Linked DNA regions of Arabidopsis thaliana. The protein of the gene in region 1 interacts with the protein of each later gene in a pairwise test. Each region holds a gene or a part of one and is shown in the gene's direction. Other genes may lie near its edges. The genes, in order: SNL2 and AT1G77250.

Evidence for each region.
Region 2: the proteins of SNL2 (region 1) and AT1G77250 interact in a two-hybrid assay, tested with the Arabidopsis thaliana proteins (one large-scale study listed by BioGRID).

Annotation. Positions count from the first base shown.
Region 1 is NC_003076.8:4,864,287-4,868,209, reverse strand, and holds the start of SNL2 (SIN3-like 2), read left to right. Parts: upstream 1-2,178; 5' UTR 2,179-2,493; intron 2,494-2,633; exon of another isoform or gene 2,634-2,638; 5' UTR 2,639-2,640; coding exon 2,641-2,717; intron 2,718-2,825; coding exon 2,826-3,002; intron 3,003-3,083; coding exon 3,084-3,264; intron 3,265-3,359; coding exon 3,360-3,458; intron 3,459-3,547; coding exon 3,548-3,715; intron 3,716-3,801; coding exon 3,802-3,923. Other genes in the region: AT5G15030 (paired amphipathic helix Sin3-like protein), read left to right, coding at 1-107; AT5G15025 (paired amphipathic helix Sin3-like protein), read left to right, coding at 652-731, 890-1,048, 1,127-1,256. UniProt on the Arabidopsis thaliana protein: Acts as a transcriptional repressor. Plays roles in regulating gene expression and genome stability.
Region 2 is NC_003070.9:29,021,677-29,025,599, reverse strand, and holds the start of AT1G77250 (RING/FYVE/PHD-type zinc finger family protein), read left to right. Parts: upstream 1-2,125; 5' UTR 2,126-2,268; intron 2,269-2,603; 5' UTR 2,604-2,661; coding exon 2,662-2,916; intron 2,917-3,529; coding exon 3,530-3,832; intron 3,833-3,923. Other genes in the region: AT1G77260 (S-adenosyl-L-methionine-dependent methyltransferases superfamily protein), read left to right, coding at 1-114, 206-316, 407-566, 716-973, 1,051-1,173, 1,272-1,349, 1,441-1,639.

The DNA of each region.
Region 1 (3,923 bases):
TTAAGAAGCACAAACATTTGATTATCGGCTTTAACACCTTTTTGTCACTTGGAGATAAGATATTTCTTCATGGTGACGCAGAAGCCTCTACTAGCTCCACCGCATAAGACTATTGAAATTTCCTATCATGGTCATGACACCAATGATACCATCAAAATCTCTAAACTAATCTCTATGTTCAGTTTTTGGTGGTTTATTATCAAATATGTTTCTTTGTAATCCATGCATGAGGGAACGTTTCACTGCAATAAAGTATGACCTCTTATATTTTCTTTACGTTCACATAAATTTGGTTACAAAAATAAAAATAAAAATAAAAATAAATGGTTACAAAAAAGAAAGAAATAAAATCCTAATAAATACTTTAATGGGCCTTACTTCGGCTGATAATGGGATATAGGCCCAAAGAAGTTGCAAACGGACGGTTTTAATAGGCGCAATTTGTTCTATTTGTCATCGCAACACTCTTGTTCTGATTTGCATAGAATCGTCGCTGATCGAAGTGATTCTGCTCGATTTTGCTCTCACTTGAAAGATCTGAGTGATTTGTTTCAGATCTTCTCCGAAAGTGAGTCTCTCTAAACTTCATCGTGATTCTTTGTTTCTCTTCTGCTTGCAATAACTTTTTCCCCCATAATTCTTCAATCAGGGATGAAGCGGATTGGAGATAAAGAAATCGACGGTTCTGGGTCTCAAAATCAACATCCAGTGGGCTCCCCTCGAAACGAATTGTAAGTTCCATTTTCAATCTTAGCGATGAGCACACAGAGGGTTTCGCATTTATGCTATTTCAAATCTTTTAATCTAGTTGCGTTTTAGCAAAAGACTTTGGTTAGTATCGTAATCTTGAAGTATTGTGTTGATGATCGTGGGGTTGTTTTTGACGCAGACAAGGGCAATCTCCAAAACCTGGAAACGGTAACACCAAAGATGCTTTGACAACCGATGATGCTTTGGCCTACTTAAAGGAAATAAAGGACGTGTTTCATGATCAAAAGTACAAATACCATCTGTTTCTCGAGATTATGAGCGACTTCAAGGCACAAAGGTATAACATCTTTTTGTTTTGTTTCTTTAAGTATCATATTTAGCCTCTGAACCCATTCTTCATCTTGCATTTTATCAGGACCGATACTTCTGTCGTGATTGCACGAGTCAAAGACCTGTTAAAGGGACATAACCATTTAATTCTCGTATTTAACAAATTCTTGCCACATGGGTTTGAAATTACTCTTGACGATGAGGATGAGGATTAAGGATCAAGAAGCTAGCATTTGAATGAGACGGATATATCAAATTAGCTCTCTGTTCGACCTTTTTTTTAATATCTTCTTAGCTCTACTACAAGTTACAATTGGTTATTTTTAGTATTGGAGAAACAGGTTGTGTTGTTACTTCTGCTCAGAATTATGAATGTTTTTTCTCATAGATCAAAAGATCTCTGAAGTCTGACATGTGAATTTTATTCAAAAGATCATCACAGCAGAAGTTTCAAAATAACTATTCGATTGGGCTCTCATAAAGTACAGTTTGTTTATCTTTCATACTCTGATTTCAGAATAGCGTATATTGCCAATAAGGCGAAGCAATCACAGAGCCAAAAACCAAAGAGTTCTCATTGTTTTTCTAATACAAAACCAAGATTTGAAGATTCAAATAATAAAACTTATTGAGATCAGAGTTTGGTTAATAAATTCTCAGTCACGGTTAATCAGAAACACGGACCAATTTGTTACTCATCACATCTCTGTTCAGAAAAAGGGACGACTATGTGCAAGATCTAAAAGGAGAAGAGAGGAAATATAAAAACAAATAAGATCATCAGAGACTTAAATACTAAGAATCATAAAGATTTCTCCATCATATTGTTGCAGTATTTGCTCATCAACTGATCCAAACAAAAAATCCGAATTTCAAAAACACTAAAAACTGCAGAAGTATATAAGAAGATGTAGCAAGCTTAGATCGATATCTCTGAGTAATGTTATCTGTTTCCTCTTTATATATCTTCCTCGGCGAATATGATGAAGCAAAACCCTAATTACCTTACGAATTTATTTAATGGGCCTAATAATCAGGGCCTTTTATTAAGCCCATTATAAATTTTAACGGCCCAAAAATAGAAAAAAGGAAATAATAATAATTTGGTCTCGCTGAAACAATTCTAAAGAAGGTGCCGGGAGAGACCTCATAGGCAAATTCCGTCCTCGTTTCTTCTTCTTCTTCATTATTCGAAAATTACTTTCTCTCTCTTGCTTCTCAGTCGTAGCAACTCCAATTCAAAACATTTCTCTCTCATTTGTTTTTTAATCTTCTTCTGAATTCCACTCTGTTCTCATCGGAATTGTTCTTGGGGTTTGGCACAATTCGGGAAATTTGAAGTTTTCGCCGGAATTTGATCGGAAGTGTTTCTTATCGATTCCGCTCTTACTCGAGAGATCTGATTAATCTCTTCCCGGAGTTATATCTCTGGGAAATCTGGAGAACGAGAAAGTAGGTTTTATCAACTTCATCTGAATTTTCCTTTTTTAGATGCTCAGTAATGGAATTTCTAAATTGGGATTTTGGGTTTACCTTCAAATTTCTTCATTTCTCTTCTCTAATCGATGATCTTTCTTGTTTGTTTTACTCAGAGCAGCAATGAAGCGAATTAGGGATGATATTTACGCAACCGGGTCTCAATTTAAACGTCCTTTGGGCTCTTCTCGTGGCGAATCGTGAGTTTCCCTTTTCGTCAGACTTCGAAAATTTAAAATTGCTGGCGATGAGACATTATAGCTTGTTTGCATGAAAGTTACTAAGTGATTAGAGTTTGTTTGGTGCAGATATGAGCAATCTCCAATCACTGGAGGAGGGAGCATTGGTGAAGGGGGAATCAACACTCAGAAATTGACTACCGATGATGCTTTGACCTACTTAAAGGAAGTAAAGGAGATGTTTCAAGATCAGCGAGACAAATATGATATGTTCCTTGAGGTTATGAAAGACTTTAAGGCACAAAAGTAAGATCTTTAATTTCTTTCCTATCAGATCGATTGAATTTTTGAAGCCTCTGGGAACAATTCTTCATCTTGCATTTACAGGACTGATACATCTGGTGTGATTTCACGAGTGAAGGAGCTGTTTAAGGGGCATAACAATTTGATTTTCGGGTTTAACACCTTTTTGCCTAAGGGGTTTGAAATAACGCTTGATGATGTAGAAGCTCCTTCAAAGAAAACTGTTGAATTTGAAGAAGCCATAAGCTTTGTTAATAAAATTAAGGTCAAGAAGTTCTCTTCTCGTATGTATGTCCTTATCTTTGAAGTGTCCTCTACACCTAGTATCTCATTGTATCAGTTTCTTTTGCATCACTGCAGACACGGTTCCAGCACAATGAACTTGTCTATAAGTCGTTTCTGGAAATCTTAAATATGTATCGGAAGGATAATAAGGACATCACTGAGGTTTACAATGAGGTAATGTCACATTGAAGTGATTATATCTCTCGTATACTTTCACGTCGATAATTCTCGATATTTTATACCTCTAATATCTGTTTATTTAGGTGTCTACTCTTTTTGAGGACCACTCGGATTTGCTTGAAGAGTTCACTAGGTTTTTACCAGACTCGTTGGCGCCTCATACAGAAGCCCAGTTACTTCGTAGTCAAGCCCAACGGTATGATGACCGGGGATCAGGCCCTCCTCTTGTGCGTCGAATGTTTATGGAGAAGGTATGGTATCGGTTACGTTTCTTCCTGGTTCTACTATATTGTTTTCAGGACTCTCTTTTCTGTGCTGATACATTTTTCATCATCAGGATCGCCGACGAGAAAGAACTGTTGCTTCTCGGGGTGATCGTGATCACAGTGTTGACCGTTCTGACCTTAATGATGATAAATCAATGGTTAAGATGCACAGAGATCAGAGGAAACGTGTTGA
Region 2 (3,923 bases), on another chromosome or scaffold:
AGCGTGGTGTTCCTGCGATGGTGGCTGTCTTTGCCACACGGAGGTTGTTGTATCCAAGCCAGTCTTTTGAGATGATTCATTGTTCCAGATGCAGAATTAATTGGACACGCGATGGTTAATTTCTGGCTTTTTGCTTCTCCTCTAATGTTATTTGAGCTTTAGCATAGTAAGTGACTACAGCATTTTGTTTCTATGAATTACACAGATGGGATACTTCTTCTTGAAGTTAATAGAATGCTTAGAGCAGGAGGCTACTTTGTTTGGGCTGCACAACCCGTTTACAAACATGAGGATAACTTGCAAGAGCAGTGGAAAGGTTTGTATATTATTCAACAAAATAATTTGTCTGCTATGGAGTTTAACTAAAATATGGGTGTTGCTTCTGCGCTTTGATTATCTTTTTCAGAAATGTTAGACCTTACGAATCGAATCTGTTGGGAGCTTATCAAGAAAGAGGGATATATTGCTGTGTGGAGGAAGCCTCTAAACAACAGCTGCTATGTCAGTCGCGAAGCTGGAACAAAACCTCCTTTGTGCAGACCTGATGATGATCCTGATGATGTTTGGTACATATATGCATCTGAAAATCTAGTTTCTTTTTAATAGTTTTGAGCCTTCTTGCATAGACATTATATGATAGAACCACCAAATTCTCAGCTTTTCAATTAAAACTTTCTAAAAATCTCAACTTTGTGGTTATGGTTTCCTGTTCCAGGTATGTAGATATGAAACCGTGCATCACCCGATTACCTGATAATGGCTATGGGGCTAATGTCTCCACATGGCCTGCACGTCTTCATGATCCGCCAGAGAGGCTACAAAGCATTCAAATGGATGCGTACATATCCCGAAAGGAAATTATGAAGGCAGAGTCTAGATTTTGGTTAGAAGTAGTAGAGAGTTATGTGCGGGTTTTCCGCTGGAAGGAGTTCAAACTGAGGAATGTTCTGGACATGAGAGCTGGTTTTGGAGGGTAACCATCAATCACACCCTTTTTTTGTTTCTGCCTTACCAAAGTTTATTTGATCTAGTATTTCTTGATTTTGGTAGGTTTGCAGCAGCATTAAACGATCTGGGGCTTGACTGTTGGGTTATGAACATTGTTCCCGTTAGCGGATTCAACACCTTGCCAGTTATTTATGACCGTGGACTACAAGGGGCTATGCACGACTGGTACAGACTGATAACCTTCTGCTCTTTTGCTTCTAATCCCACATAACTTTAACTTACACAAGATCACATTTAAAGCTTTTTTCACTTACTTCCTCTAGGTGTGAGCCATTTGACACCTACCCAAGAACCTATGATCTGATACATGCTGCATTTCTCTTCTCTGTTGAGAAAAAGAGGTAAAAAGATTTAAACTTCGTTTTTCTTTTTATCCTGAATCCAAAAATAAAGGTCAGGAACTTGATTGGGGTAATGAATTGTGGAACATAGGTGCAACATAACAAACATTATGCTGGAGATGGACCGGATGTTGAGACCAGGAGGACATGTTTACATAAGGGATTCACTGTCTTTGATGGACCAACTTCAGCAAGTGGCTAAAGCCATCGGTTGGACTGCTGGTGTTCATGATACCGGGGAAGGACCCCACGCAAGCGTTAGGATTCTCATCTGCGATAAACGGATATGAGGAAAAGAAAAAGAAAAGATACGAAATCGAATGTGATGATAAGTCTGCTCAAAGCGACAGTTCTTCTTAGTGATAAATTGATAATTGTATTATTGTTTATTTGTTTGTTGATTTGATTGTTGAAGAATGAAGAGTGTTAATACACTTGAGCTACTTTAACACATGAGTAACAAAAAGATTCATTTTCTCAGACAAAAAAAAACAGAGAGAAGTGTGAAATAAAGAAACAGAGAATGGTGGGTGTCTTTCAGTTATAACCGTTGGATTGCTAAAGTTGAGATCCGACGGTTGTGACTCTTTGATCAGGGAATAACTAAAAGCACGTGCACATCACGAATCTGTTACTGTGGTGGACTCCGTCACCGTGAGTCTCCGGCGCGGTTTTTATTACTACTTCCACGTGTCAGTTTCGCGTCACTGATTACCGGTTTTGACCGGTTTCAGATCCAAGTTGAAAAATATACCGGTTAAGGGACGCGGAAGTTTAAAAATGATTCAAAGATAAGAAAGGCCGGGATTTACAGAACCACCGGCGAGTCTTAATCTCCGAGAGCCGGTAAATCAATCCTCTTCCTCAAATTTCTAGGGTTTGCTCTTCGTCGGTTCTTTACGCAGATTTCTTCACACTGGTACGGTTTTACTCTCTTTTTCCCTCTTGTCGGTTTTTTCGCTAGAGGTTTGAATTTGGATTTAGCTTTGTTCCGTCTTTTGTAGTGTCTAGATAAAGCTCCATTGAAGTTTCCGTATCTAGAAATTCGTTGTTTTCTGATGAAATTATGGTAGAGAAGTCTTCAATTTCATCGCTTTTTGTTGGAATGATATTGTTTTTTCTAATTTCTAGATGGTTTATTTGGTGATAAAATCGAAGACATTTTGATAGTTTGTTACCAATGGTCAACATTTCCATATGAGATTTCGTTTGTGGGTTATATAAGGACTCAAGTTTCTGTTTTGTCTATTGTAGGATGGAAGATTGGTGAAACCCTAGCTCCACTGTGTGAGGATCAAAACATTTGTTTAAGATGTTCATGGAGGAGGCGACAAGTAATGGTAAAGGTACAGAGCATAATCAGCCAAATGGTTTGGTGGAAAGTGAAGCATTGAATAATTGGAGTGCAGGATGTGGTGCTATGGCTAATTCTGCAAATGCTAGTTCCAGAGATAGTAAGAAGATACAAACATATAAGCGGAGAAAACTTGGGAGATCTTATTCTGCTAATAAATGTTCGGAAAATGATAGATTTTCCATGGAAGGTGTTAGTCACTCAGAAAGCCGGGTACTTTTCATGCCTTTTTCTATTATGGTACCACCTCTTGTTGTGATTGGTTTTAAAATGCTGGAGTATATGTAGTTGCTAGCATTTTGCAACTTTCGCTCACCTCAGTTGTTATATGTTTTGTGAATTTAGTTTATTGGTTTATTTTAGAGCCTTGGCTAAGTAATGTATATTAGGATCTCTATAAATCTAGTGATGGTTGGGTAGTTGCTTCAATAGTGAATATTGGGCCTCAATTACTCAGCATGTTGCTGAGGGAGCTAAAGAGAAGGGTCATTTCTGCTTATATTCGTATGGCTATTCAAGTAACAATTTTGCGATTATATATCTGTTCCCTTCATTTTGTTCAGGCTACATTGGTGTCTAGTGTGTGATAGCTATGTTTCAGGAAACGCTTTGCAAATAGTAGTAAAATCCATATGTGCTGTTAATACTGTGCTTATTGAAAACCTGACTAGAGTTTGCTAAATCATGCATTCATTCCTGAACTTCGTCTCAGGTTATATTTGTGTGATCAACTCATGTGTTCATGATTTACTTTCATGAATATGCTCCTAAAACATGTTAGCTCTTTCTTGTTTTGGATTAATTTTTTCATTAAATTTCTTCACAGGAGTCTGTCTCTTATGAAAGGTTTAGCATAAGAACCCATCTTACTGGTGAACTCCCGAAGCCTCCCAGTCCAAATAAACCATCAAGTGAATCCACCAATCATGAGACGGTGACAGCCGGTTGCCAGCATGTTCTGTCCCATGTTTTAGCTTCAAAGGAGTTTGCATCCCTAAATAGGTTACTTTCCGAAAATCTTCAAGGGGTCAAGATTGATGATTTTACGAGCAGAACTCTGATAGACACCAGGATGAAAGAGGGTGTTTATGAAGGTTCACCTCTGCTCTTTTCAACGGATCTCCAAGAGGTAATTAGTGGAAATCATGCTTAGTCTAAGATAAATATGCATGAAAACAGATTATCATGTCTTTCTTATTCTTTTCATTGTGAAAAATATA